4 linked regions of the Macaca mulatta genome follow. The protein of the gene in region 3 purifies or fractionates together with the protein of the main gene of each other region. This does not show direct contact. Links are inferred from orthologs where the notes say so. Each region holds a gene or a part of one and is shown on either strand. Other genes may lie near its edges.

What was found. Proteins that work in one complex are often made in the same cells at the same time.
Region 1: the proteins of RAN (region 3) and IPO9 purify together in Homo sapiens (affinity purification with mass spectrometry; 3 studies listed by BioGRID and IntAct, with this or other methods). This does not show direct contact. The link is inferred for Macaca mulatta from reciprocal best matches to the Homo sapiens genes RAN and IPO9.
Region 2: the proteins of RAN (region 3) and NUP214 purify together in Homo sapiens (affinity purification with mass spectrometry; 3 studies listed by BioGRID and IntAct, counting the BioPlex papers as one, with this or other methods). This does not show direct contact. The link is inferred for Macaca mulatta from reciprocal best matches to the Homo sapiens genes RAN and NUP214.
Region 4: the proteins of RAN (region 3) and AKIRIN2 purify together in Homo sapiens (affinity purification with mass spectrometry; 3 studies listed by BioGRID and IntAct, counting the BioPlex papers as one, with this or other methods). This does not show direct contact. The link is inferred for Macaca mulatta from reciprocal best matches to the Homo sapiens genes RAN and AKIRIN2.

Annotation. Positions count from the first base shown.
Region 1 is NC_133406.1:59,522,816-59,529,149, forward strand, and holds part of IPO9 (importin-9), read left to right. Parts: intron 1-1,221; coding exon 1,222-1,370; intron 1,371-2,148; coding exon 2,149-2,277; intron 2,278-3,143; coding exon 3,144-3,419; intron 3,420-3,705; coding exon 3,706-3,872; intron 3,873-5,350; coding exon 5,351-5,484; intron 5,485-6,334. UniProt on the Homo sapiens protein: Nuclear transport receptor that mediates nuclear import of proteins, such as histones, proteasome and actin. Serves as receptor for nuclear localization signals (NLS) in cargo substrates.
Region 2 is NC_133420.1:16,314,581-16,320,034, forward strand, and holds part of NUP214 (nuclear pore complex protein Nup214), read right to left. Parts: intron 5,426-5,454; coding exon 5,254-5,425; intron 2,942-5,253; coding exon 2,779-2,941; intron 1,214-2,778; coding exon of another isoform or gene 1,189-1,213; intron 45-1,188; coding exon 1-44. UniProt on the Homo sapiens protein: Part of the nuclear pore complex. Has a critical role in nucleocytoplasmic transport.
Region 3 is NC_133416.1:138,251,627-138,258,514, forward strand, and holds the start of RAN (GTP-binding nuclear protein Ran), read left to right. Parts: upstream 1-2,906; 5' UTR 2,907-2,938; intron 2,939-3,403; 5' UTR 3,404-3,413; coding exon 3,414-3,449; intron 3,450-3,654; coding exon 3,655-3,739; intron 3,740-3,821; coding exon 3,822-3,947; intron 3,948-5,355; coding exon 5,356-5,543; intron 5,544-6,446; coding exon 6,447-6,617; intron 6,618-6,716; coding exon 6,717-6,761; 3' UTR 6,762-6,888. UniProt on the Homo sapiens protein: GTPase involved in nucleocytoplasmic transport, participating both to the import and the export from the nucleus of proteins and RNAs. Switches between a cytoplasmic GDP- and a nuclear GTP-bound state by nucleotide exchange and GTP hydrolysis.
Region 4 is NC_133409.1:98,260,640-98,266,973, forward strand, and holds part of AKIRIN2 (akirin-2), read left to right. Parts: intron 1-3,986; coding exon 3,987-4,130; intron 4,131-6,334. UniProt on the Homo sapiens protein: Molecular adapter that acts as a bridge between a variety of multiprotein complexes, and which is involved in embryonic development, immunity, myogenesis and brain development.

The DNA.
Region 1 (6,334 bases), on a different chromosome or scaffold from region 3:
GTTCAGCCATTAAAAATCAAGCTAAAAAGGAATATTTAAAACCATGGGAAAGAGCTTACATTGTAATAAATGAAAAGATACTTTTCCCCAAAAATCCATAGAATATGATCCCAAGTTTTGATTTTTCTTTTAGGAAAGGATATATGTATAGTTAAGTATGTTAAAAAAAAAAAAAAAAAAAAGAAAAGAAAAAAATACATCAAAATTTTAAGAGTGTTTATCTCTAGGTGGTGGAATTACAGGTGTTTTCTTTATTTTCTGCAGTTTAAGTTTTTTTTTTTCCTATAGTGAATGTATTTATTAATACCTTATTACTAGTAAAATATTAAGGATTTTTTTTTTTTTAAAGGGAGAGCTCCAATATTGAAGCTCAGAAAGATGTACAGGATAAGGATTGTTTATATAATGTGATATACTGAACATGTTATTAGATATGCTTTTTCACTGAAAAATGTGTACTGAGGAGCTTTCCACATTGTGTTCTTGGATATATCTCATTCTTTCAGCCATTACATAGTATTCCATAAAATGGGTATATCATAATTTACCCATTCTGCTAATGGACATCTAGGGTATTCCCAATTTTTTTCTATTACAAACAATGCTGCAGTGATCTTTTAAGATATACTTTAACATACATTGCCTATATTTTTCCATACTAAATAGAGGAGGATGTTTTGTTATATAGATAAAGAAGATTGAGCTAAAGTTCCCTTTCTTCATAAGGCTCTGCTTTTTAGGAGTTTTGCCTTTTGCCCCAGAAGTAGCTTTGAGAATTGTTCATGGCCACTATGGCTACCTCATAGGAGATATGTATGATTTCTCTCATGCATCAAAGTCAGTGTTTTGGCAATTTTTGCAACTTTCTTCTTAAAGTATCAGTTGGGCTTTTTTTTTTCTTTTAAGCATATGGTTTTATAATCTAGGTTTCACAAGAATAAAGACTTTAAAGATTTTTCTTTAGAAAAACTACATTTTGTTTTAGGAGTAGCTGTTGAAGACTAGTCCCTACTTTAATGAAGCCATACAAAGTGTACCTCTTGGAGATTTAGGATCACTCCTGTTCTTTCAGGTTATTCATGTGGCCCCACTAGGTCCCGGATGTGTGATAAGTAATCAATGCAGAAGTTGTTAGGTTAGGGCAAACAACAGGCATCATTAAGCGAGAAGCAGATGCAGACCATCAGGCAGGGGGATTCCGTGTTGCCTTATCCACTTCAGATCCCGTCGTCGCCTCACTGGCTCAGGACATCTTCAAGGAGCTGTCCCAGATTGAAGCCTGTCAGGGCCCAATGCAAATGAGGTTGATTCCCACTCTGGTCAGCATAATGCAGGCCCCAGCAGACAAGATCCCTGCAGGGCTCTGTGCGGTAAGTGGCTGTGTGTGTGTGAGATATACAAGCGCCACCCACAGATGCATGTAGCTGACAAGAACTTAATAGCATTAGAGATTCATGGGGTGATTTTGCTGAGCTCTTTTGCCCACAATGACAGTGGGTGATTCTCTGAAGCTTTAAGAAAATGACTTGGCTTGGCGCGGTGGCTCACGCCTATAATCCCAGCACTTTGGGAGGCCAAGGCAGGTAGATCACAAGGTCAGGAGTTTGAGACCAGCCTGGCCAGTATGGTGAAACCCTGTCTCTCCTAAAAATACAAAAATTAGCCAGGCATGGTGGCAGGCACCTGCAGTCCCAGCTACTTGGGAGACTGAGGCAGGAGAATCCCTTGAACCCAAGAGGCAGAGGTTGCAGTGAGCGGAGATCGCACCACTGCACTCCAGCCTGGGTGACAGAGTGAGACTCTGCCTCAAAAAAGAATAAAAGAAAGAAAATGGCTCTTCTTGTTTCAGAGGTACCCTCAGTGAATTGAACAGAGTGCCACCATTACACAGCGCCACTAAGTATGTCACCTGGTTATCCAATCCACTACCATGTACTAGTGCCCACCCCTAGGACTAATCAATTAGTAAACTATTAGGAGGAGGCTGAGAGCACTACCCATTTAATTATTCCTTTTATTTTGGAAACTTGCCTTTCATTAATAAGCTTTCTCTGGGTTGCTATGTGATACCCATCCAGTAAGGATCTTAGTTGTTGGGCACCCCCAACCCCAGAGGCAATTCTGACTCTTTTTTCTTCTCTCTTTCAGACAGCCATTGATATCCTGACAACAGTAGTACGAAATACAAAGCCTCCCCTTTCCCAGCTTCTCATCTGCCAAGCTTTCCCTGCTGTGGCACAGTGTACCCTTCACACAGATGACAATGCCACCATGCAGGTATCTGAGACATGGAGACTAGAAGGGGGAAGATAGCTCCCCAGTCATGGGCCTTTACTACGCTGAGAAATCTGACATGGTTTTATGCTTTTGAAATACGGAATTCCTCAACTCCATATTTACTTAGCAGATTCAGGAAGGGTTCAGGCTGCAAAAGCCAAGCGTTTCTGGTGCTTTGGAGCATGTTACAGTTTTTAAAAATACAGATACCAAGCACCCTGCCCATCTGTATTGGGTATTGCTACTATGAAAGAGATTACAGACATCTAGACTTGGGGCCATAAGAAAGTCTTTCTGCATATTTCCTCTATTAATAAAATCAGCAGAGTGATGGGCCTCTAGAGAGGGGAGAGATGCCTAAATATTTTTTCTCTTTTTGTTTCCTGGGTGAATTGGTTACCTTTTCAGGTGTGTACTACCGTCATTGATTATAAAGGTTATAGGAACTTGCCAGTGAATATTGATCAGCTTAGAAATCCCTAGGCAACTAGTGGTTTGTGTAAGACCTATATGAGGTCCTATAGTATCCCCAATTATTGCAAGATTGTAAGCATATTTTTTTAGTACCAGAGGTAGACCTTTATGATTAAAATTCATTTTGCTTGGCCATTGTCCCTTGTGATTAAAAAATAATAATAATACATATTTTTGAGATAGCTCATTAGGTAAAGGGGGAATTATGTAATGCATGTCTGTGTCTATAACAGTAAATTCCTGATTCCAGTGATATGAGCCCACCACAAATACTATAGACTCACCGCTTTTATGAGGCATAGGCCTCTGAGAACATTTGTTTATACAGACTGAGGGCCTCCTGGCATCTGTCTCTCGGTTACTAATCTTGCTTGCCACCCCTGTCTCCCCAGAATGGCGGAGAGTGCTTGCGGGCCTATGTGTCAGTGACCCTGGAACAAGTAGCCCAGTGGCATGATGAGCAGGGCCACAATGGACTGTGGTATGTGATGCAAGTGGTGAGCCAGCTCCTGGACCCCCGCACCTCAGAGTTCACTGCGGCCTTTGTGGGCCGCCTTGTTTCCACCCTCATCTCCAAGGCAGGGCGGGAGCTGGGGGAGAATCTAGACCAGATTCTTCGTGCCATCCTCAGTAAGATGCAGCAGGCAGAGACGCTCAGTGTCATGCAGGTAAGAGAACAGTAGGGAGTGGGCTTCCTACTCCTGGCTGATAGAAGTGAAAATTAGTATTTTGGTCCTGAGTTATTTTACCCTGTTACTACCCTTGTAGGACAGTTAAGTAAAATGGGATCTGTCTGGCCTAAGAAACATGGACAAGGAAATCTCCATGTTTTCTTGTCCTGTGAATAATACCCTCAGTGTAGACTCTGTCTCTTATCTGACTGGCCAGTTCCCTCTCATCTTTTATGTCTCTGAAATTGATTTCCCTGAAGCAAATGTCCTTATTTTCTCCTAGTCCCTGATCATGGTGTTTGCTCATCTGGTGCACACTCAGCTAGAACCTCTTTTGGAGTTCCTGTGTAGCCTCCCAGGACCTACTGGCAAACCTGCTCTAGAGTTTGTGATGGCTGAGTGGACAAGCCGACAGCACCTGTTCTATGGACAGTATGAAGGCAAAGTCAGGTAGAATCCCATCTTTCTTTTCTGGGCATTCTGCCACCACTTCACCACTTATATTTCTTTCTTTTGTGTTTTTTTATTTTTTGAAACAGAGTCTCACTCTGTCCCCCAGACTGGAGTGCAGTGGCACAATCTTGGCTCACTGCAACTTCCACCACACCCAGCTAATTCTTTTGTGTGTGTGTGTGTGTGTGTGTGTGTATTTTTAGTAGAGACAGGGTTTCACCATGTTGGCCAGGCTGGTCTTGAACTCCTGACCTCAAGTGATCCACCCACCTCGGCCTCCCAAAATGCTGGGATTACAGGTGTTGAGCCTCTGCTCCTGACCTATATTTCTTTTTTTCCCTGATTTGCTCCATTGATTTTTGTTTGACATTTCAGATGGCTCTTTGTATTCCCTTTTCCTTGTCTTTCTTTATTGCTAAGGCACATATGTGAATAGCTGCCATCTTGAAATCCCCAAAAGACAGTCAACACAGGTAGACTATATATTTCTGATCTCTGCTTGCTAGAGATCCCTTTTCTACCGCAGACTTCACACAGCTAAGTGCTGCTAGTGGCTTATTTTCCTTTAGAAACCCAAGCCTTGGCCAGGCGCACTGGCTCACACCTATAATCCCAGCACTTTTGGAGGCTGAGGCAAGCAGATCACTGGAGGTCAGGAGTTCAAGACCAGCCTGGCCAACATGGTGAAACCCTCTCTCTACTACAAATACAAAAAATAGCTAGATGTGGTTGTGGGTGCCTATAATCCCAGCTACTCGGGAGGCTAAGGCAGGAGAATCGCTTGAACCCAGGAGGCAGATCACGCCTGGGCGACAGGCAGATGCACTCCAGCCTGGACCACAAGAGCAAAACTGTCTCAAAATAAAAAACCCAAGCCTCTAACCCTGGCTTCTTAACTTTCTATCCTGGACTTTTATACCACTGATTCTTATCACTTCGTTGCACGTTACAATATGGATAGCCATCGTGATGCTTGCCCACCCTAGCTTTGTTCAAGAAGAACAGGTTACCTGTAATCCCAGCACTTTGGAAGACTGAGGTGGGCAAATTGCTTGAGACCCACCTGGGCAACGTGGTGAAACCTATCTCTACCAAAAATATTAGCCAGGCATGGTGGCACGTGCCTACCCACTCAGGAGTCCCAGCTACTCAGGAGGCTGAGGTGGGAGGATCACCTGAACCCAGGGAGGTCAAGGCTTTGCAGTGAACCATGATCACGCCACTGCACTCAGCCTGGGTGACAGAATGAGACCCTATCACAAAAAAAAAAAATAAGAAGAAGAAGAATAGATCTCATTAGACCATCTCATGAACTCTAAAATCTCATTTTCAGCTGAACTCTCTTAGCTCTCCTAATTAGTTGTTAACAGAATTTTCACTGTCAAATAGAGGGCCTTAGGACATGATTGCTTATCTCCTTGGCATGAACTCTAGATAGGTAACTGATTGACTTTTTTTTGGATCTTCCTTGCCAGCTCTGTGGCACTCTGTAAGCTGCTCCAGCATGGCATCAATGCAGATGACAAACGGCTACAGGATATCCGTGTGAAGGGAGAGGAGATCTACAGCATGGATGAGGGCATCCGCACCCGCTCTAAGTCAGCCAAAAGTGGGTGATGCTGCAATTCCTCCAATCCTCTCCTTATAATAAGGGGCTAAGGATACCTGGGTGGAGGGAAGGAATGCATTGTGGTGTATATTTTCAAAACATAATTGTTGGTGATGGGTTTGATAAAGAAGCAACAGGAAACTTAGATAAAAGGGATCAGAACATATGGTTTCTTCCTGTTGTCAAAAATGGACAAAAATAAGCTGGGCGTGGTGGCTCACGCCTGTAATTCCAGCAGTTGGTGGGAGGCCAGGGCGGATGGATCACTTGAAGTCAGGAGTTTGAGACCAGCCTGACCAACATAGTGAAATCCTGTCTCTACTAAAAGTACAAAAATTAGCCAGATGTGGTGGTGGGCGCCTGTAATCCCAGCTACTTGGGAGGCTGAGGCAGGAGAATCGCTTGAACCTGGGAGGCAGAGGTTGTGGTGAGCCAAGATCGTGCCACTGCACTCCAGCCTAGACAACAAAACAAGACTCCATCTCAAAAAAAAAAAAAAGTGAGTGTGATGGCTCACAACTGTAATCCCAGCACTTTGGGAGGCCGAGGCTGCCAGATCACCTGAGGCCAGGAGTTCGAGACCAGCCTGACCAACATAGAGAAACCCCACCTCTACTAAAAATACAAAGTTAGCCAGGCATGGTGGCGCATGCCTGTAATCCCAGCTACTTGGGAGGCTGAGGCAGGAGAATAGCTTGAACCCGGTAGGCGAAGGTTGCAGTGAGCCAAGATCACGCCATTGCACTCCAGCCTGGGCAGCAAGAGCGAAACTCTGTCTGGAGGGAAAAAAAAGGACAAAAATAGTCTCAGGTACCAAGCATCCCAGTTTCCAGCTTCATTCTGAGGCTTG
Region 2 (5,454 bases), on a different chromosome or scaffold from region 3:
TGACACCCCCTCAGCTTCGCCAGCCACCAAAACCCTGCACAGACCTGCAAGGAAGCACAGGAGAGTGGTGGAGTCAGCTGCTCTGTCACAGAGCAGTCACAGGCTCTGCTGCTCTGCCTGTGGGCAAAGGTCAGGACTCCGATTTTTTATTATTATTTTTTTGATAGAGCCTCACTCTGTTGCCCAGGCTGGAGTGAAATGGCGTGATCTCAGCTCACTGCAACCTCCACCTCTCAGGCTCAAGCACTTCTTCTGCCTCAGCCTCCCAAGTAGCTGGGATTACAGGCATGCACCACCATGCCTGGCTAATTTGTGTGTGTGTATCTATATATATATATATATTTTTTAGTAGAGATAGGGTTTCACCATGTTGGCCAGGCTGGTCTCAAACTCCTGACCTCAAGTGATCTGCCCACCTTGGCCTGCCAAAGTGCTAGGACGACAGGTGTGAGCCACTGTGCCTGTCCAGTTTTGTTTTGTTTTTCCTTTTGAGATAGGGACTGGCTGTCACCCAGGATGGAGTGTAGCAGTACCATCTTGGCTCACTGCAGCCTCGACCTCCCAGGCTCAAGTGATCCTCCCACCTCAGCTTCTGGAGTAGCTGGGACCACAGGCATGAGCCAGCATGCAAAGCTAATTTTTAAAATTTTTAGTAGAGATGGGGTCTCACTATGTTACGCAGGCTGGTCTTGACTCCTGGGCTCAAGCAATCCTCCCACCTCAGCCTCTCAAAGTGCTGGGATTATAGGCATGAACCACCCACCTGGCTAAGACTGAATTTTAACGCCATGAAATTCTACACAGAAGCAAAGAGGATGGATCAGCACAAGACCTGGTGATGGCCCAGAGCCCAGGGGTTAGCACACGGCTTCCGAGAAACCCACAAGGGAAGTCACGAGCAGCATCTCCTCAGCGCTGCCCTCAGGCCCGGCTCACTGGCAGGCTGCTCTCTTTCTCTCTGAACCATGTCTCTTAAGAAGGCGAGGCCTGGCACCTTCTGTCACATTGCTACGGAGAAGAGCAAGTCCACAAAACCTAAACCCTGCTGCTGAACCCCCACACTTCCAGGACAAACTCTAAAAACAGGAAAAAATGAAAAGAAAATGCACAAATCCAGCAAGATCCACACACTTCCAACCTTATTTAATGCTTTTAATTAAGGTCAGACTCAAAAAGGGGGATACTTACGAGTTATTTGATCCAAAGCTGAAGCCTGAAAAGCAGAAGACAGAAGTTAAAGCACGCGTCCACTTGAAAGATGAAGGTGGTCCCCATGCTAAGTGCCTGCCCTCCTGTGCTTCTCAGTCATGGGAAGCCCTCCATGCCTCCCCCACCTACAGGAAGGCAGGAAAGGTACATGCAGAAGCCCCTTTATTCTGAGTTTGTCCTCTGGAGCTGCTCAGATCCCCCAGAAGGCAGAAGAAATCCTTTACTTTTTATGAGTTATCTTCTTGGTATTTTAGGTTCTTCCTCCCTCCCCGGCCCCAGCTGTAGGCAGAGGGTCTCTGGTTTGGCCTCTCTCTCAACTGCGCTGGACCACACAGATTCATTTCATTAGGAAAACTTTTTTTTTTTTTGTGCTGTGGTTGTTTTTCCATCCATTTGCTTCCTCTTCTTTTTGAGGGCCAGAGAAGCAAGATGGCTGGATTCTAAGCCTGGTTCTGCTGCTAACTGACTCTCGGCAAATCACTTAGTTCCTTGGAGTTTCTGTTTCGTCATTGGTACGACTGTAATGATACCTAAATTCTGTGCCTCATCAGTTTATTGCAAGAACAAAACGGAAGACACATATTCTGCCGTCTGAAGAAGCAGAGTGTTAAACAAATGCAACATGTTTTGTGAAGTTTCTACGTGTTTTCTTTTTTTTTTTTTTTTAGTCTGTTGGCTTAGATTTTTAAACCAAGGCCTAGTAAGACCATTATTATGTTGGGCTTCTCAAATCCTGAGAGGAAATAAAGACAGTAATTTCTTTGGTAAGAAATGACACAATGTTCTAAGCCTAACCAAAACCTAAAAAATATATATATTTCTTCATTGGTATGAGATACATACATATATATATATATATTTATTTTTCGGCTGGGCGCGGTGGCTCACGCCTGTAATCCCAGCACTTTGGGAGGCTGAGGCGGGTGGATCATGAGGCCAGGAGATGGAGACCACCCTGGCTAACCCAATGAAACTTCGTCTCTACTAAAAATACAAAACATTAGCCGGGTGTGGCGGTGGGCGCCTGTAGTCCCAGCTACTCAGAAGGCTGAGGCAGGAGAATGGCATGAACCTGGGTGGCGGAGTTTACAGTGAGCCGAGATCGCACCACTGCACTCCAGCCTGGGCAACAGAGCGAGACTCTGTCTCAAAAAAAAAATTTTTTTTTCAACCACTTTCAGTATGTTATGTATTTATTTATTTTGAGACAGGGTCTCATTCTGTCACCCAGGCTGTAGTGCAGTGGTGCAATCACAGCTCACTGCAGTCTCGACCTCTCGGGCTCCAGTGATCCTCCTGCTTCAGCCTCCTGAGTAGCTGGGACCACAGGTGTGTGCCACCATGTCTGGCCAATTTTAAAATTTTTTGTAGAGAATGGGGTCTTGCCATGTTGCCCAGGCTAGTCTCAAACTCCTGGGCTCAAGTGATCCTCCCGCCTTGCCAAAGTGCTGGGATTACAGGCATGAGCCACGTGCCTGGTCAGCTTTTAAAATACTAAACAGACTGGTCAGGTAAAACATACTCATTTGTTTGGGGGAAGAAGGCAAGAGGGACCCATTGTGCTTGCGCAGGGAGAACTTGTAGCAGCTCACCTCCTGTGCCTGATCCAAAACCAGAGAATCCGCTACTCTGGGTCCCAAAACCAGAAGTCTGTTGGGACAGTGATCCGAAAGTGGGGGCGTTCTGACTCGCGAGTGTGCCGAAGGATGTGGTGTTGCTGCTGCTCCCAAACCTGCGCTCCAGTGAGAAACAGACCGAGGTCAGTGGGGCCTCTCACCACTCGGCCATCTGCAAGCCTCAGCCCCCTGCCGTAAATCTCAATATACACGACACACATGATCCAGGGTGACAGGCTGGGCCTAACTAGCAGCCTTTTAGAGAGAACGAGCTATCGTTCAGGGCCAACTTTTATCTCTGCTCTGGGAAGAAAAACGGCAGGACTACAGTATGAAATCCAACCTGGCCAGTGTTTTGGTTTCCATCCCCTATCAGAACACCAGGGCATTTGGGAACTGTGCAGTACACATTTCCTGCTCTACCTCCAACAATCCTGAAGCTTTATTCTATCATTTTAGCATTTCTCACTTACCGACCATTCCCCCACACCCCGCTCCCATTTATTTATCTTCAGCTCCTCTTGGGATCTTGATTCTATTTACGTTTTCCAAGTCGTTTCATTCAGGATTTTGTATTTGTTTCCTGAATCAATAATTACTATCCAAAACAATGTAAAAGTGGCCACCATTTTCTTTCCCCTGCTGGCCCCACCTGGAGACAATCCCCTGTGCACCCTCGCTCAGTTCTCCCTCCAGATATGGTCCAGCACAGAAGGTGGCACTGTGTGGCCTACCAGAGCCCCCTGAATCATTTGCAGAGGAATTCAGCTGGGTTGGCGAGAGCTTCTGGGGTCTGGAGGTGACTAGGTGAGGGAAATAGATCAGTGGTTTCTGGGAGAAGGGGCAGCACCTGGGGCAAGAGTCAACCCCAAAGCAAGAAAAAGTATCTAAAACTCCCCCTTCCCACCATTCTATTCACCGTTAATGGTGAGGTCAAGGCTCTTTCCATACAAAGGTGGCCAAGGGATCTGCCCTCATTGGACTTTCTCCCAGGAGCATCTGCTCCCTTCCTCCTCCTGCCTTGGGCCTCATCAGCAACAGCCTGCCCTTCTCAAAGGCCTGCCCTTCAGGGTAGGAGACAGGCTCATGGCCAGGGACCTGGAAGAAGGTAATGGGCTTTTATGGGGATTTAATAACTGACCTGGTATTAACCCTTTTTAGGACTGACTAACCAGCCAGTCAGGATTTGTGTGAGAGCTGCCCCAAGGCAGAATATGATACTTTTCTACTAGTAAAGAAAACAGCTGGTTTCAAATAAATAAATCAATTCTCAAGATACCCAGTCAACCCACACCTTCCACCAACTCTGTGGTACTATGTGCTAGGTCATCACTGCAGAGAACAGCGTCCATTAAGACCTCTGAGAATACCAGCCTAAGTGGGTCTCTAACTGTCTTTTCCAAGCTTTCCTTAACTTAATTCTTGGGGTTTCCTGAGGGCAAACCTAAGGCATTAGTCTCCCTGTGAAACAGGAGCAGCAGCACGCCAACCCTCATTCTTGCTGCTGCGCTCCAGCATCTTGCATGGAGGGAAAGGGTGTGAGTAAGAACATACTATAGTTTATTTTCAAGATAAAGATGCTGTTAGCTTGCCAAGACTCAGATCCCAAGTATCTCTACAATTCCCCCAGACAAAATCATCTCCCCTCCCCCAAGTCTTCAGCTCATGTTGAGCCCAGTACCGTGGTGAGAGGCATTTTAGAACTTTCAGGCATCAACACCTCCTTTGAATGAGACTTGGTAGTCACCCCATGTACAATTTTTAAATTGGGATGTTGTGGTGGGGTGAAGACTTTTTTTCCCTTGGGGTTTTGGCAACCAGACTGAAATTCTGCCCTTAAAAGCAACTCCCTAACATGGCCTTTTCCAGTGCAGACGCACACGAGGCAATGAAAGCAGCTTCGAAATTCCTGATCATCCAGGATCTTCCCATGGCGGGGGACCTGTGGAACTGAATACTCACTGTGGGGGCTGCAGGGGAGCAGGGGACACAGGGAGTTGTTTGTTCAAGGACAATGGGTCTAACACAGAACAATCCCAAGATGAAAGAATCTGGTGGAAACCATTCATTGAGGACTTCCTAACAGAAGCTCCACAAGGGGGTACCCCTTGGCTACAAAGCAGTAGTTAAGGCAGGGCTGGCGCCTTCCTTTAGCCCCAGCAGGAGAACAGGGGCTCTGATGACCAGCATTTCTCATACGAGGGAACAGCAACACAGCTGAGGTCCACCCATGAATTCAACAAAGCCTGGCTTAAAAGAAATGAGTCTTACCCTGGAGAGGAACAGGAATCCTTGAGGGAGTTGTTCACCAGTTTCAAGGGAGGGGCCTTCAGCTCATGGTCAAATTTCTTTTCAGAGCACGAGTACAGGCCCCTAGTGCTTTTTGGCTGGCATGTGGGTTCCCAAGGGCCCTCCCCAGGGGGCTTACCCGAATCCTCCTGCGCTGGCAGCCGCAGTGCCCTCTCCGAACACTTTGCCTCCCGTCGAGCCCAGAGGGCTTGTAAAGGCTGGGGCTGAACCGAATGCTGGCACCCCTCCAAACCCAGGGGATCCCCCAAAAGTAGGAGGGCTGCCAAACACTGGAGCAGCACCGAAGCCACCTGAGCAAAACAGAGGCAAACAAACAGAA
Region 3 (6,888 bases):
TCTCAGCACTTTGGGAGGCTGAGGCGGGCAGATCACCTGAGGTCAGGAGTTCGAGACAGGCCTAGCAAACATGGCGAAACCCCATCTCTACTAAAAATACAAAAATTGGCCGGGCGTGGTGTCGTGGGCGTGTAAACCCGGCTACTCAGGAGGCTGAGGCAGGAGAATCGCTTGAACCCGGGACACAGAGCTTGCAGTGAAATGAGATCACGGCACTGCACTCCAGCCTGGGCAACAAGAGTGAGACTGTCTCAAAAAAAAAAAAAAAAGAAAGAAAAAAAGTAAAAGAAAAAATTGTCATCCTTGCGCAGGTGGCATGCTAATCTTCTCTGTATCATTCCAATTTTGGTATACGTGCTACCAAAGTGACCACTCGATTACCTATTCCAATATAATGAAACCCCATCTCTACTAAAAATAAAAAAATAAAAATAAAAAAAATTAGCCGGCTGTGGTGGCGCATGCCTGTAATCCCAGCTACTCAACTAGCTGAGGCAGGAGAATCGCTTGAACCTGGGAGGCGGAAGTTGCAGTGAGCCGAGATCACACCACTGCACTCCAGCCTGAGCGACAGTGAGGCTCTGTCTCAAAAAAAAAAAAAAGAAAGAAAGAAAAATAAAAAACAAAAGAAATAGAATATTGCAAGTAAAGTTAAAGTCTTCTTTGACTCCTCTTCTCAGTTCCATCACACTCCTTTCTACCCTTTCTTGAAGCAGTAACCATCAGGATATGGTATGTATATCCTTGCAATTAAAAAAAATACATATATCCAATAGCCAATATGCTTTTATGTTTTTGTAAAAAACGTACACAAATGACATTATACTATATATATAATCCCTCTAGATAAAGTTACATATAGTGTTAGGCTTTATGTAATAATTTTGGAAACAGGGTCTTACTCTGTCTCCTAGGCTGGGAACTCCTGGGTTTAAGGAATCCTCCTACCTCGGGCTCCCAAAGTGCTGGGATTACAGGTGGCCTAGACTTTATAAAGCTATTATCACCTCTTTCTGCTTTTCTCAACATTATCCTTTTGACGTCTATCTAAACCTGTGGAAACAGACGACCGTCAATCCTTTTAAATGTTATACAGCATTAAATGTTGTGCACATGTGTGAGGCGTGAGTTTAACTCTCGAGCCTCTCCCTAGAAATGGAAATCCACGGTCACAAGCAATGGGCATTCCCGTTTTACTGTTAGATTCTGCTCTCCCGCGAGAGGTGCTTGGCGTTCCCCTGAGGGTTCTGGGGGAGCTCGGACTTGCGTTCCCAGCAGGCCGGTTCTCCCCCGCGTTGTGACCAATTTGCGTCACTGGGGTTCCCAGCGGACTCAAGTGTGCCCAGGACTGCAGGGAGGACTCCTCGGTTACCGGGACTCTTTCACCATGCTGGACTCTTCTAAGGCGCTTGACTGCGCTGATTTGAGCCTTTTTCCGTCTGCATGTCGGCAGGGGCGCCCAGGAAGTCGGGGTCGCTCTAGCTCAACCTTGTTTGGAGTCTTACAGCTTCAGGCCAACACGGGGCTGGGAAGCTGAGCACTTATTCCGTCCGCGTTCGTAACTGGGGCTGGAAGACGCGCCCAGACTGCAAACAAAATTTTATCATTTTGTTTGTAGGACGCAGCGGCCAAGGCTGCCAACCTATGAAACGCTTTGAGAAGCTGGGCGCTTTGGGAGGCCGAGGCGGGTGGATCCCCTGAAGCCAACCTGGGAGACATAGTAAGATCCTGTCCCTAAAAATTAAAAAAAAAAAAAAAAGAAAAAAAATTACCCCGGATGTGGTGCGCGCCTGTAGTCCCAGCTAATTGGGAGGCTGAGGCGGGAGGATCGTTCGAGCCTGGGAGTTCGAGACCAGCCTGGGCAAAATAGCGAGACTCTGTCTCTTTTTTTTTTTTTGAGACTGAGTCTGGCTCTGTCGCCCAGGCTGGAGTGCAGTGGCCGGATCTCTGCTCACTGCAAGCTCCGCCTCCCGGGTTTACGCCATTCTCCTGCCTCAGCCTCCCGAGTAGCTGGGACTACCGGCGCCCGCCACCTCGCCCGGCTAGTTTTTTGTATTTTTTAGTAGAGACGGGGTTTCACCGTGTTAGCCAAGATGGTCTTGATCTCCTGACCTCGTGATCCGCCCGTCTCGGCCTCCCAAAGTGCTGGGATTACAGGCGTGAGCCACCGCACCCGGCCGAGACTCTGTCTCTTAAAAAAAAATAAGTAGCCATTTTCCGGGGTGGGGGCATCCCTCTCTGGTTCCTCGCTCTCCAACTGGCCCTGGTCCTGGGGGCGTGAAGGCTGCGATCTGGAGAGACAGAGCCGCGGGCTGACTCTGGAGGCCCAGCCTAGGATCCCTTCATTCATTCATCCGTTCTGTCACTCACCCGTCCTGCGCGCACGCGAGCGCCATCCTAAGCCCCAGGACCCCAAGTACCCCAACCCCACGGGGCACAGACAAGGACTGGCTGGCCAGCGCCTGGAAGCCGCGTGCCTGACCGCGTCTGCCCAAGCGAGTACCGCCTCCCACCCAAGAGGTAGCACGGCCGCGACAGTCCGGCCGCGCCCAACGACTCCCGCCCAGGGGCGCGCCGCCTCCCTGTCAGCGCATGCGCGCCCCCGAGCCCGCCCTGGGCGCCGGCGCACGTGGCCCCCACGGGCCGGCATGCGTGCGCGCTCCCGGCTCGCCCTCCCACGCGGTCCATCGCGCCTCCCGCCCCACCCTAAGCGCAGCGCCGGCCGCAGCGGCCGACTGAACCAGGTTGCGTGCGTGCGCGCGCGCACGCGCGGGCCACGTGGGCGGGCGCCGTGCCGTTGCCCCGCCCCTTGTCAACCCCGCCCCCGTCGGCCCCGCCCCTGCCCGCGCGCCGGCGTCGGCTGCGTCTCCGGCGTTTGAATTGCGCTTCCGCCATCTTTCCAGCCTCAGTCGGACGGGCGCGGAGACGCTTCTGGAAGGTAGTGAGACGCGGCGGGCCGGGCGGGGGCAGGGCCGGGCGGGGACAGGGGCGGCGGCGGCGGGATAGGGGCCGGAGCCGGGGTCAGGGCCGGGGCAGGTGGCGGGCCCAGGGACAGCGGGCGGCTGTGAGTAGGTGGGTGGCGCGGGCCCGGCCGTGCCGGGGCAGGAGACGGGCATGGGGTCGGCGCCCGCCCCCGCGAACCCCCGTTTCATCCTCCGCTCTCATTCCCGTCCCGGTCTCAGTCCCGTCCCTATCCCGACTCCTCCGTCCGCCGTTCCCCGCGCCCCGCCGCCCCGGATGCCGGCCCCGCCCGCCGCCTTCCCGCTCCGAGGCCCGGCCGCCATGGCGCCGCGGGCGGGAGGCCTTTGTGGGGCGGGCACGTGGGGCGCTGGGGGCGCGGGAGCGGGGCCGCCATGGGCTGCGGGGCCGCGCGAGCGCTCGCCTCCGTCCTCTGCCTCCGCAGGAACGCCGCGATGGCTGCGCAGGGAGAGCCCCAGGTCCAGTTCAAAGTAGGTAACCCTGCGGGGCGGGAGGCGGCCGAGTCCGACCGCGTGCGACTCGCGGGTCCCTCCTCCCGGACCCACGATGGCTGTAACGGGGCCCCGCATCCATATTCTTTGTTTTAAGTGAGCCTGTGATGGTTAAAGTTCCATGACTCTGGGATCTTGAGAGGTGAAGTGTTTTGGGTTTACTTCCAAATGTGTTCTCCAACAGCTTGTATTGGTTGGTGATGGTGGTACTGGAAAAACGACCTTCGTGAAGCGTCATTTGACTGGTGAATTTGAGAAGAAGTATGTAGGTATGTGCAGGAAAACCTTGCTTGTGGAAATACGTGAGAAATGGGTAAATTCATCCACTCAATCATGTCGTTTCCGTTTTAGCCACCTTGGGTGTTGAGGTTCATCCCCTAGTGTTCCACACCAACAGAGGACCTATTAAATTCAATGTATGGGACACAGCCGGCCAGGAGAAATTCGGCGGACTGAGAGATGGCTATTATATCCAAGGTAGGCATTTGTAACTTGCTGAACAGTTTTTGAGAGGTTTTGTGTACTTCAGTTTTCAAGGTTATAGAAAATCAGGTCTGTTCCAACAAATAGTGCTTAATACTGTAATGGGAATTGTGTCATTTCTGGGTTAAAAAAAGACGTGGACTTCAGGGAGTTGACCACCATTTTGGTGGCAGAGGAGAAAATTTTATGAAAGTTGCATGCTGTGTCATGCTAGGCATGGTTTAGAAAAACCTATGACTTACACTGGAACTTATAAGTCATGTTTAAAACAATAACAGGCTGTTAACAGCAGTTTCAGTATTTGAAAACTTTGGTTCTTGTGTGTAGTTTGGTGTGGCGATCAATGAATATTTCTAGTCCATTACAAAGCAACACCAGATACTAGACCAGAGGAGATAGGAGGTCTTAACAAGTGTTATACAAGACTAGCCGATTTCTTGTTAAATTGTTTGTAGTAAGTTGTGCAGAGTATTTTTCTCAAATAGTTTGATTTAAAAATCTCAAGGAAAATGTTCATTGTACCAAAAAGAGAGGAATAAACAAAATACTCATCTCTCCTGGAACCTCACGTTGCTAATAACACATTATCTGGAATCATTCCATGCCTTTTGCTCTTCTTGAACGTGTACATATAAACACAAGAATTTCCCCCCCAAAAAATCCTTTAACCAAAAAGTTGTGGTTTCTTGCCTTACTAACTGTACCATAGTTATTCCTGCAGGTGAGTATATAGACTTTATCTGGGTTATTTAATTTTTTTTTTTTTGAGACAGGGTCTTGTTTTGTTGCCCAACCTGGAGTGCAGCTTCCGCCTCCTAAGCCTCAGCCTCCTGAGTAGCTGGGACTACAGGCACCTGCCACTTTGCCTGACTAATTTTTGTATTTTTTTTTGGTAGGGATGGGGATTCACCATGTTGCCCATGCTGGTCTGGAACTCATGAGCTCAGGTGATCCACCCACCTCAGCCTCTCAAAGTGCTGGGATTACAGGCATGAGCCACATCGCTTGGCCTATCTGGAGTTTTTAAGACAGGAATGATATTTCCTAGTATAGTCGGCCATTTAAAGACTTTCTGAAGACTATTTCCAGGCCCTACCCTCAGAATATGGCAGCTTGGTTCTCCAGAATCTCACTTGGCATTAATTACTTCAGATAGTGTTTTGGGGATGAGGGGAGTATTAATGGTGAAGTTTATCAGGGAGATTTGATAGAATCAGCTCATCTTTCTTAGGAAGAGTTCTGTGTTAATGTTCTTAGAATTGAAAGAGACTTTGAAAGTGAGGGGAGAGATCTAGGTGCCTTGTTGAGGTCTAAGACTATAGTTGAATCCTAGTCTGCGGTTCTTAGCATTCTTCACTTGTGTGGTAAACAGTGTACTAATTACCGCAACTGTTTCTTTCAGCCCAGTGTGCCATCATCATGTTTGACGTAACATCGAGAGTTACTTACAAGAACGTGCCTAACTGGCATAGAGATCTGGTGCGAGTGTGTGAAAACATCCCCATTGTGTTGTGTGGTAACAAAGTGGACATTAAGGACAGGAAAGTGAAGGCGAAATCCATTGTCTTCCACCGAAAGAAGAATCTTCAGGTGTGTAAAATTAAAACTTCCTGAGTTATTTCTCTTAGCGGAGATTGTATGTAAGACCATGAAATTGACCAGTGTCTATTATATATGGAAATGATTTTTTTTCTCCCAAGATGGAGTCCCGCTCTGTCCCCCAGGCTGGAGTGCAGTGACGCAATCTGGGCTCGCTGCGACCTCCGCCTCCCGGGTTCAAGCAGTTCTCCTGTCTCAGCTCCCCTAGTAGCTGGATTAAAGGCATGTACCACCACGCCTGGCTAATTTTTGTACTTTTTTTTTTTTTTTTTTTTTTTTTTAGTAGAGACGGGGTTTCACCATGTTGGTCAGGCTGATCTCCGACTGCTGACCTTAAGTGATCCACTTGCCTTGGCCTCCTGAAGTGCTGGGATTACAGGCATGAGCCACTGTGCTGGCAGGAAATAATTTTGTCTTTTTTTATACTATTGTTTTTAAAGAATGATAGAGATGGGGTTTCACTGTTGTCTGGGTTGGTCAACTGAGATACGTGTGTGTATTTATATATTCTTTGTTTTTTGAGACAGGGTCTTCCCCTGTTGCCCTGGCGGGAGTGCAGTGTCATGAACATAGCTCACTGCAGCCTTGAACTCCTGGGCTCAAGCAGTCCTCCCACTTCAGCCTTCTGAGTAGCTGGGACCACAGGCATTCAAGACCATGCCCACCTAATTTGTTTTTTTGTAGAGATGGGGTCTTGCTCTGTTGCCCAGGCCTGATCTTGTACTATTGGCCTCAGGCAGTCCTCCCACCTCAGCCCCCCCGCAAAGTGCTGGGATTACAGGCATGAGCCACCATGCCTTGCCAAGAATCTTAACATTTTCTTGTCTTGCCATGTCCTAGAAAAATCGTCATCTTAATGAATTTTAAAAGGTAAAATTATTTTCTTTTAAACAGTACTACGACATTTCTGCCAAAAGTAACTACAACTTTGAAAAGCCCTTCCTCTGGCTCGCTAGGAAGCTCATTGGAGACCCTAACTTGGAATTTGTTGCCATGCCTGCTCTTGCCCCACCGGAAGTTGTCATGGACCCAGCTTTGGCAGCGCAGTATGAGCACGACTTAGAGGTATTACGGCCACTTTGCTGTCTAGGCTATAACGTTTGACTTGTATATTCCTGGCAGTTTTGATCTGGAGTGTTAACATTTTTTCATCTCTTCGTCTAGGTTGCTCAGACAACTGCTCTCCCGGATGAGGATGATGACCTGTGAGAATGGAGCTGGAGCCCAGCGTCAGAAGTCTAGTTTTATAGGCAGCTGTCCTGTGATGTCAGCGGTGCAGCGTGTGTGCCACCTCATTATTATCTAGCTAAGCGGAACATGTGCTTCATCTGTGGGA
Region 4 (6,334 bases), on a different chromosome or scaffold from region 3:
AATCCGAGGAAGTTTCTTGAGTTTATCAGCTTCAAGACTGTTTATATCCCTGGACTGAAATAAATTGAGCTTGAGGCTTGCCATTGCAGTTAGCTGTTTGCTACTTGTGCGGTTGAGATCTTGGCCAAGTTAAATTGGACCCTTTACTGCATAACATTGTTGATCACATGTTACCAGTATTAGAGCATTTGAGGGCACCAGTGTGGCTTAGATGACATAGTTGCATCATATTTGATGTAAAAAGCATGCAGTCAATAGCTTTAAAAATTCTTCAGCTCTTTAGCTGACAATATCAAGTGTTGGCAAGGATGTGGAACAGCTGGAGCTGTAATACTTTTATGGTAGGAATGCAAAATGACAAAATCACTCTGGAAAATGGTTTCGCGATTTTATTTTGTAAGAACAAAATAAACCGTTCATTTGCCATATGATTAGGCAGCCTATTCCCACTCCTAGGGATTTATCCAAGAGAAATGAAAACATGTCCGCCAAAGACTGGTACTTGAATATTCGTAATAGTTCTAAATTGGAAACAGTCTTAATGTCCATTAACAGGAGAAAGGATAGATATGTGTGTGTATGTATACATACATACAATGGAATTCTCACCAACGAAAAGGAATTTCTGATTCATGCAAAATATATGAATCTCAAAAGCATTGTGCTGAGTGAAAGTAGTTCAGACATAAAAGTCTGTACTCTTTATGATTCCATTTATGTGAAATTCTAGAGAAGGCAAAACTATATAGTAATAGCAGATGAGTGTTGGTGGACTGTACTGGGGAAGTGGTGATGGTGGTAGTGAATTAACTGCAGAGGAGCCCAAGAGAAGTTTTTGGAGTGATAAAAAGTTATTTATCATAGTTAATGTTAGTTCCAAAACTGTATGTTTGTACTTGTCAGAACTCAAATGAATTGTACATTTAAATTGGTTAATTTTGTCATTTGTAAATTACACCTTAAAATGTTAGTGATGTCTCTAAGTGTCTGATGGTATAGAGTTTTACAAAGATAAATTTTTAAAAGTTTTACTGTTTCTTAATTCTGGGTTAGCTTTCATTTGAGATTATCAAATGAACAAATTGAGGTGGTTGTTATACAAGCATTCTTTTGGTACATTTTAGTTGTGCTTTGGTTGACTTGTGAAGCAGAAGGAACACTAAATCTGAGAACAGCTATGTGGTGATGAAAGAACGTATGTAAGTCACACAAAAGATAAATATTAAGGTCAGGTTACTCCAAACTAGTACCTCCTAAAATCTCTGGTTATAAATAAATTTTATGATGTTTTGAATAGCACTTTTGATCAGGATAATGGTAGCTTTGGACAGAAAGTGATGAATGTGAGTGAAGCTTACTTTCTGTCAGAGAGCAAAATATAAATGCTGGGTGCAGTGGCTCACACCTATAATCCTAGCACTTTGGGAGACCGAGAAGGTTGGATCACCTGAGGTCAGGAGTTCGAGACAGGCCTGACCAATATGGTGAAACCCTGTCTCTACCAAAAATATAAAAATTAGCTGGGCGTGGTGGCTCACGCTTATAGTCCCAGCTACTCAGGAGGCTGATGCAGGCGAATTGCTTGAACCTGGGAGGCAGAGGTTGCAGTGAGCCGAGATCGCGCTACTGCACTCCAGCCCGGATGACTGAGCGAGACTCCGTCTCGAAAAGAAAAAAACGCTTTAGATTGCTGTTACTGAAAAGAGGTCTGTTATTTAAAAAATGAGGGTATTTGTGTTTGTCGTGGTTGAAACCAGATGTTACATTAGTTTTATTGGGTACCTCTGGTGAATATTAGGAAACCTATTTATATCAAGGTATGCTTACCATTCAGAAGACAACTCTTTCATGCCAACACTGATAATTTAATAATTTAACCACTGTCACTCAATTGGAATAACTTTGTTTTCAAATTACAAAGTAGTTCAAATAAATGGAAAAGGACTGAAAATGACCATAACTCGTATTAAACAAATGTTAACAAATGAAAAATACAGCTAAAGCACTCCAACATAACCATCCTGAAATTAATCATTATAGACCTGTTTAAGTACACGTGGATGTGTGATTTTGTACTTAAACCACACATTCATGTATATATAAACAGGTCTTTTTATACAACGAAATTTATGTAAATGGTATCTTTAACTGGATATGTCTTGCAACATTTTTTCAGTTTAAATAATGAAACAAGCAGTATTTAAAATGTTTAAGGGAACTTATTTGTCCTCCCAGAGTCTCTCAAAAATTCTAAAAGTTCTCCTAGGGAAATAAAGTGAGAAAAGAGGTAAGTGACAAGATTTTGTAGATATGGTGGTTATCTACGAAAACCACCAGTGTTACATTTTAAAAAGAATTATTGTATGTAAATCTTTAGCTTTCTTTTTTGTGTGTCATAGAGACAGGGTCCCTCTGTGTTGCCCAGGCTGGTCTTGACCTCCTGGCCTCTAGTGACCCTCCCACCTCGACCTCCCAAAGTGCCATGGTTACAGGTGTTAAGCCACCCCACTTCACCAATATCTAACAGTTCTTAAATTAATGCATCATTGTAAAATTGAATTTTAAGGCTACACTCCACTCCGTCAGTCTTTTTATTGCCAGTTAATTGCCACCTAAATATTTCATTTTTATTTAATCTTGCTTTGGATTTTGATTAGTAAACTTCTAGGGATGTAGTTTCACATTGATACCCTGTTAACTTGGGAGCTATGGAGGTGTAGTGAGGAGGTGTAGTGAGGAGGTGTATGGAGGTGTAGTGAGGAGGTGTAGTGAGGTGTAGTGAGGAGGTGTAGTGAGGTGTAGTATGGAGGTGTAGTGAGGAGGTGTAGTGAGGTGTAGTGAGGAGGTGTATGGAGGTGTAGTGAGGTGGTGTATGGAGGTGTAGTGAGGTGTAGTGAGGTGTAGTGAGGAGGTGTAGTGAGGTGTAGTGAGGAGGTGTAGTGAGGTGTAGTGAGGAGGTGTATGGAGGTGTAGTGAGGTGTAGTGAGGAGGTGTATGGAGGTGTAGTGAGGTGTAGTGAGGAGGTGTAGTGAGGTGTAGTGAGGAGGTGTAGTGAGGTGTAGTGAGGAGGTGTATGGAGGTGTAGTGAGGAGGTGTATGGAGGTGTAGTGAGGTGTAGTGAGGAGGTGTAGTGAGGTGTAGTGAGGAGGTGTAGTGAGGAGTGGAAACCCCCAGGTAGGGATTTTCTGGAGGGGCCAGATGGTAATTATTTTGAGTTAGAAATCTTTCTGAAATGAATCATACTGGCCTAAAAGATATGCCAGATATAATTTTACTCATTCGTGTGATTGTGGTTCAAGATAATTGCACTGTGGTATGGTGGTTCTTATTTATTGAGGACCTGTCATGTACCAGTCACTTCACATGGTCTCTCCCTCACCCCACCCACCCTCCAGCCCCAAGATTCAGAATGCTATAGTATTCTTAGGTTTTATTGAGCTTAAAATAATTGGCCATGGCCATTTAATGTATGATGACTTTTTTAGTTCCCATCTGCTTTGTCATTTTGTTGACCTACTGTCACTTCAGACTGTTGTGTGCTTGAATATACATAATCCCCCACGCCCCTTCTTATTTATGGGCTTGGAAAAGGCATAAAGGCATTAAAGGCAGTTGGAAAAGCCTGTTAGTGTAATAGTTCTATGTGATGAATAAATGAGCTTTAAGTTTGGAACTCAAGAATCTGAGTAAAATAGGTGTTTGGGTTCACAGACTACTTGACCATTATTTTGATTGAAAAACTTTATTTTTGCTAGTCAGTGCTCAGCAAGAATATTGTTGAGCAGCTGAATTCCAGTTGGTGTGTATGTGCTAAGTGAATGTCCTCATTTATGCTGAAATGAGTTCCTACCAGAATGTCAGTTTTCTGGATATTATTTGAAAGGAATATTTTGGGTAGATTGGTCTACTAAATAATGTTGGAAAGCCAACCTCTTTTTTAATGTGAAAGTTTTTATCTTGCCAAATTTTAACTTTTTTTATTTTAGAACAAATTCTGTACAACATAAAACAAGAGTATAAACGAATGCAGAAGAGAAGACATTTAGAAACGAGTTTCCAACAGACAGATCCGTGTTGTACTTCTGATGCACAGCCACATGCATTTCTCCTCAGTGGACCAGCTTCACCAGGTAATAACATTTCTTTTCATTTATAAAGTTTATTATTTAGAGTGGGAAAAGTTTAATCCAAGTTGTCTTTAGTCATTTAAGCTACTATATCTCCTCTGAGTTTTAAAAAAACATTTATACAAGTAATGCATGACATCTTAAAAATATGGTACAAAATAAGGAATTATCACCTGGATTCCCACTAACCAGGGACAACCACCTGTATAATAATATCCCCAAAGTGGACATCCTGTAAGTACTATGATTTGTAGCCTTTATTAAAAAAATTAACAATAGGCCAGGCACGGTGGCTCATGCCTGTAATCCCAGCACTTGGGGAGGCCAAGCGAGGTAGACAGGTCACTGGAGGTCAGGAGTTGAGACCAGCCTGGCCAACATGGTGAAACCTTGTCTCTACTGGAAATAGAAAAATTAGCCAGGCATGGTGGCATGTGCCTGTAGTCCCAGCCCCTTGGGAGGCTGAGGCATGAGAATCACTTGAACCTGGGAGGCGGAGGTTGCAGTGAGCTGAGATCGTGCCACTGCACTCCAGCTTGGGCGACACAGTGAGACTTTGTCTCAAAAAAAAAAAAAAAAAAAAATTAACAGAATACTATATGCTCCTTTGTTAGGTATAGATGTACCTTGTCATGACCGAATGCTTATTGATAATTCAACTTAGATGTTTTGCTGGTATAGTATTTTAAGAAATATCCCTGTATACGTACCCTCCCTTACACACTTGTCTTATTGGGATAGATTTCTAAAGGTGGATTATTTTATTACTTTTTTTGATCCTGTATCTGTTTTTACCTACCTTTTGTTGGGGGGAGTGTTTGCAAATAACCTTCCTTTTTAAAAAAAAAAAAAAGGAATAAGGGCTACTTGAAGCAAAGAGAAAGTTGAAGGTTTTGCTGAAAGAGAGCCATCAATAGTGGCTCTTACCTTTAGTAAAGTTCTCAGCAAAATAGCTTTTCTTGTGACAACAGTTGCCTTTGTTCAATGCTTTCTCTCCTCCCTCTAGCAAGGGTGGGAAAACCTGGCAGAATAAAAAAATTTCGACCAGGCGCAGTGGCTCATGCCTGTAATCCCAGCACTTTGGGAGGCCGAGGCGGGCGGATCGTGAAGTCAGGAGATCGAGAACATCCTGGCTAACACAGTGAAACTCCATCACTCTAAAAAGACAAAAAATTAGCTGGGTGTGGTGGCAGGTGCCTGTAGTCCCGGCTACTGAGGTAGGAGAATGGCATGAACCTGGGAGGCAGAGCTTGCAGTGAGCAGGGATCACACCATTGCACTCCAGCCTGGGCGACAGAGCAAGACTCCGTCTCAAAAAAAAAAGAAAAAAAAAAAAATCAAAGACCATAATATAGTCAAATAAAATTAGATTAGGAAACATGAAATTGTTCAAAACTAAATACTGCCATGCCCATTGTGGGGGGCCAGTTATTAGTGGTTGAAACATAGTAAGAGGTGAGGGTTGGGTACTAGACTGTATTAGCAGGAAACCAAGATCATTATTTCCTTACTCACTTAGAAGATCAGTTAACTGGCTCTTAAGTAACAAAGCTGGGAATGTGAAAATAAATTAAGATAGCCTTGGGTAATTATGAATAAAGCTGGTGTGCTTTGTTATTGTGATATGCGCAGTTCTAATAAGCATAGTTAACTAGCTCCTGCCATGCCGGTTATAAGCAGCATTAAGTTAAGAGAGTAATATTGGTGGTACCAGGGCAAATTCACAGAGTGAGATGAAGAAACAATAGATAACAAATGAGTGGTGCACTTGAATGTGAATAAAATACTTTTAGCAGTATTACAATAGATGTTATTACTACAAAATATTTTCTCTTTTATAAAAAAATACTAATAGGTATAAAAATGCTGAAGGAATATTCTTGCCAATTTACTAATGATATTGACAGACACTGATGTTGCAGCTGCTTTGGGATTCTTAGTGTGATGACAGTGTAGTTCTATGATACTATAGAGTTTTGAGCATAGCATTATCAGCTCAGTACTTGAGCTTATTTTTCCATGCGAATTATTGTTAACTGAATGGTAGTAGTCAATGTGTTCAAACACCTTTAGAATCATTTATGCTTCTCCAGCAAAGTAGATTCCAGAATGTCTTTTTTATTTTGTTTCATTTTGTTTTTGAGACACGGTCTCACTCCGTTGCCCAGGCTGGAGTGCAGTGGTGAGATCTTGGCTCACTGCAGCCT